Linked DNA regions of Drosophila melanogaster. The protein of the gene in region 2 purifies or fractionates together with the protein of the main gene of each other region. This does not show direct contact. Each region holds a gene or a part of one and is shown on either strand. Other genes may lie near its edges. The genes, in order: alphaTub84D and klar.

Region 1 (4,583 bases), on a different chromosome or scaffold from region 2:
AGGGTGGATTCTTATTCATATGAATATAGTTTAGCGAGCCTCAACTGGCAAATACCGGTGCTCGCAATCAGGACAACGACATCCTTTGTGGAGCTCTAGGAGATTTCGAAGTGGCTCATTATCGCATGGCTCATATAGTACTTTGCCCTCTTTGGATTCCTGACCCTCGTATGCTGACTCCGGCGGACACTCTTTCTGAATACAAATCGGTTTTTCAACGTTCGATTTATCTATCTTGCATTTACGGAACTTTCGGATCTGGACATCAACGAATGGCTTATACGACTCGTACAGTTTTGGTACGGTAAAAATAAACAAGTGTCCTATAAAGAAAAATTATTTCAATTTAATGTAACTTTATAGATAAAGTAAAGTAAGACAACATATGCACATACCAAATATAAGCAAAGTCAATCCGTTGAAGCAATCGCCCAGCAAATTGATGCCGCAGAGCAAAACTAGGAACTTCAAGGAATCCTCCCACTTTTCCACCAGCAACAATTCTATCATACGGTTTAAAATTAAATTAATATGGGAAACTGCTTTCCCGGCCAGATAAAGAGTCTCCTCCCGGGGGATTTCTATCTTCGGGTGAGGATAGAAACGTAAGATCTGATCTTTGTTCTCATCCTTCTTCCAGATACTCCAGAACTGTACCAAAAGGCGATGGCCAATAGCTGCTATGAGAACTGTGATCCCTACCATGCTTATCACACTGATCACCGAGTGGACCATCACATCCAGCAGGAGGAGCAGGATGCCCGTGAAGACGATCAAAGTCTTTCGGCTATTGCGCCATAACAACAGGTTCTTCAGATCCATAAATATTTGGCTGGAGTCCTTAGCCTTTATCAAAGTATCGGTACTCATATTTTCGAATGTCTTTAGAGCACGTTCGGATGCTGGTTGTGAGATCAGAGCAAATAATGTTTTAAGTTTTCACAGCTGACTAATATTTCAAAGGTCAACCGAATAGACAAACTAAAATGATTTCAAATTGTCAGGTCGGAATGTATTTCGATTCACCACAATGTTTGTGTCTTGCTTCAATTCAGTTCACAGTTAAATTTGAAAAGTTTCTCGACATTGTATTTCTCAAAATGAAGAAAGCGAAGATATTCTAAAAAATATTTTTTTAAATTTTACTACATTTACCTAGCTAATACCGAATGCTTTGCGCACATTATTCATCCTTTTTTTTTAGCTAACTAGCGGGTTTAAATAGTAGTTTTTACTTACGCATCTTCAGAAAATCTTCAATTGTATGAAAATATGAATAATACACAAAATAGTAGCAGATTCCAAAAAATGTTAGCCTTTTGACACGAATAGCACAGACTGGTCCCAATATAAAGAAATACATCTGTGGATTATTTCAAAGCATACTCATTTCGCGCGCAATTAATCGATAAGTGCGCAAAATGGATCGATAACTGCGCAGTACTGTACTGCTCTCGGAAATTACTGCCTTAAAAATATACCAAGCGGGTCAAAAGAGTTCGTTGTGTTTACGGACGGGTTGCTCCATTCTTTAAAAATATATGAACATAAAAAAATTACTTACTTCTTTTATCTCTATTTCAATTTATTTTGTTCACTATGACCTACTGACTTAATGCAAAAATGCACTATTCGGTTTACATACTTTGTTCATTTTGGTAAATAGTAATAGTAGATGTTCTAAACACATGTAAAATTACTTAAACGGAACATTAGTAATTTGACGCTCTCTTGAAATAGGCATTATTAATTGTGTTAATATGCAGTTCACTTATACAAGGCATTGGTATTATTGAACTGTTTGGTATCTTTAAATTTCCCACCGGCGGTCACACTTAATCTACTGAACAAGCGTGCTTGTGCTAAATAATTTTACTGATCTTTAAATCTCGTAAATACCGCCATTTAGCCGCATCTGAACACTCTTGCCGATGGTAATCAATTATTGGCCAAGAGCTAGCAATGTTGTGTAAAAATCAGCGTGAAACTAAAGCCGAATTCAAACAAACAAACCAAAAAGCGGCCTGACAGGGTTTTTCGTGCCCCCAGAGCAAAATCGATTGGTAAAAGAAACGCGTTTCGTATAATATAGATAGTTATCTAATATCTAATCTAATATCTGAGTTGTTGTGAAGCCCTTTTTCGTAAAACAGAGCTACTGGCGATTTACGTCTGTTCGAAATCCATTCCCGGGCATTCCAACGTATACGCCCGCAGAGTCAGACCCCAAAATCCGTAGGCTTACACTTTTTCCGTTGATTTTCCGTAGTCGCGTGTGAGAAACCGAAACTCGAAACAAGAAACCCGGAATCGGAAACCCCATTAAAAATCAATATGCGCGAATGTATCTCTATCCACGTGGGCCAGGCCGGAGTCCAGATTGGAAATGCCTGCTGGGAGCTCTATTGCCTGGAGCACGGCATCCAGCCCGATGGCCAGATGCCCTCCGACAAGACCGTAGGCGGAGGTGATGACTCGTTTAACACCTTCTTCAGCGAGACTGGAGCTGGCAAGCACGTGCCTCGCGCCGTGTTCGTGGATCTGGAGCCCACTGTGGTCGACGAGGTCCGTACTGGAACCTACCGTCAGCTGTTCCACCCCGAGCAACTGATCACCGGTAAGGAGGATGCGGCCAACAACTACGCCCGTGGCCACTACACCATTGGCAAGGAGATCGTCGACCTGGTGCTGGACAGGATCCGCAAGCTGGCCGATCAATGCACCGGTCTGCAGGGCTTCCTCATCTTCCACTCGTTCGGTGGAGGTACCGGCTCCGGCTTCACCTCGCTGCTGATGGAGCGTCTCTCCGTGGACTACGGCAAGAAGTCCAAGCTGGAGTTCGCCGTGTACCCAGCTCCGCAGGTGTCCACCGCCGTGGTGGAGCCCTACAACTCCATCCTAACCACGCACACCACCCTCGAGCACTCCGACTGCGCCTTTATGGTGGACAACGAGGCCATCTACGACATCTGTCGCCGAAACCTGGACATCGAACGACCCACTTACACTAACCTGAATCGTTTAATCGGCCAAATAGTGTCCTCGATCACCGCCTCTCTGCGATTCGATGGAGCCCTAAATGTGGACCTCACCGAGTTCCAGACCAACCTGGTTCCTTACCCCCGCATCCACTTCCCGCTGGTGACGTACGCTCCCGTCATCTCCGCCGAGAAGGCCTACCACGAGCAGCTGTCGGTGGCCGAGATCACCAACGCCTGCTTCGAGCCAGCCAACCAGATGGTCAAGGTGGATCCCCGTCACGGCAAGTACATGGCCTGCTGCATGCTGTATCGCGGCGATGTGGTGCCCAAGGACGTGAACGCCGCCATCGCCACCATCAAGACAAAGCGTACCATTCAGTTCGTGGACTGGTGCCCCACCGGCTTCAAGGTGGGCATCAACTACCAGCCACCCACTGTCGTCCCAGGCGGGGATCTGGCCAAGGTGCAGCGTGCCGTGTGCATGTTGTCCAATACCACGGCTATTGCCGAGGCCTGGGCCCGTCTGGACCACAAGTTCGATCTGATGTACGCCAAGAGGGCCTTCGTCCACTGGTATGTTGGTGAGGGCATGGAGGAGGGCGAGTTCTCCGAGGCCCGTGAGGATCTGGCTGCCCTCGAGAAGGACTACGAGGAGGTCGGCATGGATTCCGGTGACGGTGAGGGCGAGGGTGCTGAGGAGTACTAGAGCGGATAGGTGTGCATCCCTCAAAATCTTGCTTATTTTCATACGCTCCCACTCGCATGTATAAATTTTCTGCGATAATGTATAGCGAACAAAGAAGAAAATAAAAACCCAAGAAAACACCAATTTATTAACCACGTTTAGTAAAAGGCACGAGAAAGTTAGTACTTTAAAATTAACTTTAATTTTATATATGACCAAAAGTCATGCATTAAAAAGTTGTTCACGTGGGGTACATCTGTATATTATTAATTTGCTTCATTTTTATTTTGTTGGTTGGTTAATGTCCTCTATTAACATAGGTTATTTATAATTTAACAGTCCACAGGAAACCGAACATCATAAAGGTGTCTTATCTAGGATTTCAACACCTGTATACAGTAAGATTAGAGAACGCTCTACCTGGCTAAACGGTAAGGTTTTACCAGGCTAGAAACTAAAACTAGAAATCCACGTATGCAAGTCGATGGATCCAGCTTTCCATATCATTCTCCAATCATCTAGGGTGTCCAAATAATATAAAGTTTTTCTTTGCTGCATAGAATTCAGCCAATAAAATTGAACAGAGATCTATCCATATTTTCATTCATTTCTATTTACTAAGCGAAGATTCATAAAAAAAAAAACCAATAGAAATAAATTTCCAGCCTTAATAATTCTTGAGATCTCGCTAGTGATCCTAATGAAGACAAATTTATATCCTCAATAGAGTTTGATTTAGATTTTTCGACGTGTAGCGAGAATAATTATTTCTTCTTTAAGAGGTATAAGGATATAAAAGCAAAATTTAAAATTCCGAATTCCTAAAGACATGCAATTTCATATTTCCTGTTAAAAATGATAAAGGAAATCTTACCAAGGTAAGATCGATTCACCTAGGTATACAAAACAATTTATTT
Region 2 (4,909 bases):
CGGGCATGGAGGTGGTCAAGCGGATCGGCATGGTGGAAACCGACAAGAACGATCGCCCCGTGGATCCCCTAAGGATCATCAAGGCCAAGGTGGAGAAGCTGTGAGCCAAGGAGGTGGATTTTTTGGAGGAACTGCTAGAATAAGTACGATTTAAACAAGCGAAAGGTATCTTTCCATATGGATTTTATAACACTGATTATATGTATTTACGGAATGACTAGAAAGACAAGATCTCTTTGATTGGTTGATCACAGGATAGCGTAGCCCTATTTTACATGGTGCTGTCCAACATGTCCACCAGCCGCTTGATCTGCCTTCTGCGGAAGAGAAAGTCCATTACACTAAAGGGATCTGTCTTGAATTGACCCACTTACATGCGCTGACCCAGCTGCTCTGTGGGTTTCATCGACTTGGTGATTTCCTCCGCCTTGGCCAGCAATTGGTACTGGCACTTGATATTCGCGTCCAAAGTGTCCGTCAGCTTGTTGACCGCGTTGCGATGGACCTCCACGTTGTCGGCCGTTATGGAGGAGATTGAGTGCAGCAGGTTGCCCAGGTTTTCCATCAGATTGTCCACCGAGCTGGCCAAGTACTGAGCCTCCAGTTCGATGTCGCTCAAGACGCTGCCGTCCACTTCGGGAATGTTGCGCGACTGCAGGAACCGCCGCGTGAGCAGACCGTTGCCGGAAGTGGCTCCAATGGGACCCATGGAGCTCAGGGGCGTGGTGTGCTCCGAGGAGTAGGCCGAAGCCGCCACGCGCTCGCGCAACTTGGCCTCTAGATCGTGGGCCACAAAGTGGCGCATCCCGTCGGAGTCACTGGTTTCGCCGTCCAGCTCGTAGGGCACAGCTGAAAGAAGGAAGATGCTTTAGTCAGGAACTATGGGTAGATAACCTAGAACCCACTGCTCTCTGCCTTCAGTCTGTGCCTTTCGATGTCGCCGGAACTGCCCTTAGAGTTGCTATTCGAGTTGCTGTTGTCCTCCTCCTCCAAGGGATCGTCTTCCTCGTCGGGATCCTCGCCCGAATCCAGGTTAAGGTATTTCTCGCCGTTGGGTCTTGTCTTTGTGCTTCCGGGAATCGCAGCATGGCCAGTGGCTGTGGGCGTCAGATCCTGGAGCACGTGCTCTGGCACCGCTCCCGGATACTGAGCCAGGAACGGAATTTCCGTGTAGGAGGAGGCGGGCGTGGCTCCGGATCCAGAACTCCTGGCTGCCCCTTCCGATGGGCCACTCTCCTCGGCCACATAACCGTAACGTGGGCGGATGGGAATGTCCTGGTGGCGGTGCGACATTCTGCACTGCTCTTTTCAATCCAAGGAACTTTAGGCAGACTAAGAAATGTATGTCAATTTTCTGAATGAAAACCAAAACAAAGCATTTACTGGTATATACCAAATGGTTATCGATAACATCTATTTATCGAATGTATTTGCATTAGGCCCTGTTCAGGCTGAGGTCCACCTTACCTATATCGAGCCTTTTTTACGTAGGATTGACCTATGCAACTTGATGTGCGTAAACTATATTTTCCTAACCCTGATGGAAATTTCGGTTTTAGTGAGAAACAGATTTCAGATGTTATTTGGTTGAGTATATGACAGTTCGATAGTATCGCACACTTACTCTTCACGATTTTGCTTTTACCAAGAAATGGTCACACTCCAGCTCGCACTATCGAGTCATCGATAGGACCGATAGGCCAGCCCGTTAAATCGAAGACAGTCGTGTTTATAATTTGCGGCTCCGAGGTGTGCGGCGCGCATTGGGCAGACTGGAGTGAACTAAGTAAATCTGCAGCGTTCTAATTTAATTGCGCGATGAGCGCGTAAAAACACACCTGCGTAGCGCTGCAATAAAACCAATGTAGATTTTTGTTTATATGTTCGCGTTTCCATCGTATTTTTCGAGTCTTATTCGTTTTAATTGTTAGTGCTCGTACGCTAAGTGAATTGCTAGCAACTTGGGGCTAAAAGTGCCAAAAAGAGCCAGAATCGAAAAGAAGCGGCTAAAGAGGAATAAGCGAAAAGGAAGCAACGAAAACGGTGTTTTGCTCTCTTTCTCCTCTCTCATCCTCGCCATGTGTGTGCGTGTGCAAATGTGTGTGTTGGCGTCGCTAAAAAAGTGCATGTGAAGATTAGGAAAATAATAAGGAAGGCAACGAAAAGTAAAATAAAATTTGATGTACAAAATACGCAAATTGGTGACAAACAATGTACAAGTGGCATACATGAAATAAAGTTTTATGCAAAAAAAACAAAATCGACTGCAGTGCGTGCACTTGTGTGTATGTGCCGCTGCATATGTGTATGTGTGCAGTGTGGAAATAAAGCAAGAGAGAAAAAAAAACTGTTTGCAGCCGGGGTACAAATTCCAATTGGAGTCTCAAGGAGCATAAATTCCCATTCGACGCATGCGTGGCTGCTAAAAAAAGCAAGTAAGTTAAATTGTTTGTACTAAAGAATCTTATAAAATGCAACTGAAAATGGATAAAAGTGTAAAAAAAAGGAAAGACTTTTTTGCCTTCTCTGTTTTCTACGGGTACGTACGAATGTGTGTGTGTGTGTGCTCTCTTCTATTTTGTTCTTGACTTCTTGTTCTTTTCTTCTTCTTGGCCAGTTACTCTTATGCTTTGTCTTTCTTCTCAGGCCGTTCTGCTTCTTTCTTTTAACTGCAAATTGTGCAGTCAGCAAGTATGAGAGCGAGAAAGAGACAGCGATCTTTCTTTTTCACCCACCCACTTCTTCCCCTCTTCCTCTAGCGGTTATATTCGCTTTATTGTATTGGTGCTTTTCCTATCTATATCTACCGTTATGTTTCGATTGCGATTTCGTAATAACTGCGATAATATTTGCTCTCTCTCGCTCTTCTTCTCTTTCGGCTTTCCACTCTCTTCCCTTTTAGTTATGTGTGTGTAACTGCACATTTGAATTGTTGTTGTTTTTATTAAAATGCGTGGGTTGATTTTTCAATCAATCAATCAATCGTTTATTTTGGCATCGATAATATGGAAAAGTGGATTGATATGTGGACAAGAAAAGCATGTGATGAATCAGGAGAAAGGAATTACTCGATAATTAGCTTCTAACTTTTATATTCTGTAAAAAAATGTATTTTTAAACGTCTAAATCCAATAGGAAAAACAAGCAAGTTGGTCGAAAATAAAAGAACTCAATTTCTGGATCCTTGTTTTGTTAAGTATTTCCCTATTTCGCACTTTAAATTCCATTCCATTTCTATAAACAAATGTTGTCGCACTCTTACTGTTTATTTACATCGCATCGAAGAAAGATTTTCCATTTTCATGGGCGACACTTGAACGGGGTTTTCTCTGGCCTTTTCCCACAACCATTTCCTCGTCGAGCACTTAAATGAAAATGCTGTTTTTATTTATTGATTTCCATATTGCATTCATCTCGCGTTTTCCCGCTCGCCCACTCGATGACCCGCTGACCCAGCGGGAAATGGAAAATCGTTTACTGCAACATTTTACTGGTGCCCTCTTCCTAGATTTCCCACCCTCCCCTCTCGTGGGTTTCCCCATTTTCCTCGGGGCGGGGTTAAGGCGATGCCTTGGAGCAGATTAAACGCGCGTCCTAATGCGATTTGCATTCGTCTTTCCCCCGCTTTTCCTTCGACTTTCCAGTACATCGTGCCCGGTTTGGGGTCAGCGACTAGGAAATCTAATTGAGGAAATTCCTATTATTTTCCACTCGCGCGCCGCCTGCTCTTTCATTTTCATTTTCCCCAGCTTAACCCCAAAGTGTTTTGGCTTTAACGCTCACGTGCCGAGTCTCTTTGGGCCAAAGACCTGAAGTCCCAATATGTCAAAATCCCATCTCATGTGCGTGGCCAATTTTGGCCAGGTCTGGTCGGTCTTTAAGCCATGTTTCCTTCTCCTCCGAGATAAGCGTGTTAATGGCTCATTAGCAGTGGGTCGGTTTAGGTCACTTTGGAGCCAAATTGCCTAACCGAAGACTCGAAAATAAGCGAAATATCAACGAGTTTTTAGGCCCAAATCTCTCCCACACTCTTAGCGGCTCTCAAATGGCGGGAAAGTAATGAAGAAATAAATACAAATCATCCAGAAGGAAGTTGAAAATTATTGAATTCATAAAGGAAACGAAAAATCAATCCCAAAGAATGATTGTCAATATCTAATCTCCTAATGTTCGAGTTCGATTAACACAATTGTGTATAATTCCACTTTCCTCTAACTGTTTTCTTAAAATTTTTTGTAAGCCAAATTGAGGTCAGGAAAATTCTTTCAACTCTTGTTCTCTAAAAATAAAAAAACTCGGCATACAAACTTTTTGCCTGATCATCTCTACAGTCATTGTCTTCTCAATTTGGAACTAATTTGGGTAGGGAACTTCAAAAGTGCAAATGAATTTATGAACATTTGGGGTTCTTTTCTTCTGAATAGTAAAAAGGTCTTGGAAAGCAGTATTGAACAAATAGTATACTTAATAGTAGGTACGAATTACTCTAAAACCAAAAATTACAATTTTGTAACTGACATTTTATTCACACCCACTTTTAATATAACTTCTGTGGCACGCTTTTGTTATTTATCTTGCATTATTCGCCCTCATTTCTGATGCTTACATTAATGCACACCCTTCTCGGAATTCATCCCCTGCATTTTGAAGGTGTTATATGTTATATACTGACTGTTATACTGGTGTTCGTTCACCCCCTAGACTTTAAATTTCCACCCGATGTAAGCGATGTTGGTCTTCATTCTTGCTCGCCAGTTTAATTACAGCATTTCTGATCATTGATTCACTTGCTTCGCTGAGCAACTTTTACAGATGAGATCATCTCATCTGGAATTCCCCACCCCAAACCCCTTTTAATTAACAGTTTCTTATGTATGCTCGAATTTATTCCGCAATGTTTTCCACAAAG

The links.
Region 1: the proteins of klar (region 2) and alphaTub84D purify together in Drosophila melanogaster (affinity purification with western blotting, with the first as the bait; one study listed by BioGRID). This does not show direct contact.

What each region holds. Positions count from the first base shown.
Region 1 is NT_033777.3:7,528,925-7,533,507, forward strand, and holds alphaTub84D (alpha-Tubulin at 84D), read left to right. Parts: upstream 1-1,828; 5' UTR 1,829-2,334; coding exon 2,335-3,687; 3' UTR 3,688-3,808; downstream 3,809-4,583. Other genes in the region: Rtnl2, read right to left, coding at 31-323, 396-870. UniProt on the Drosophila melanogaster protein: Tubulin is the major constituent of microtubules, a cylinder consisting of laterally associated linear protofilaments composed of alpha- and beta-tubulin heterodimers.
Region 2 is NT_037436.4:537,425-542,333, reverse strand, and holds the start of klar (klarsicht), read left to right. Parts: upstream 1-1,719; 5' UTR 1,720-2,435; intron 2,436-4,909. Other genes in the region: Cypl (Cyclophilin-like), read left to right, coding at 1-104; BORCS6 (BLOC-1 related complex subunit 6), read right to left, coding at 272-317, 375-849, 906-1,293.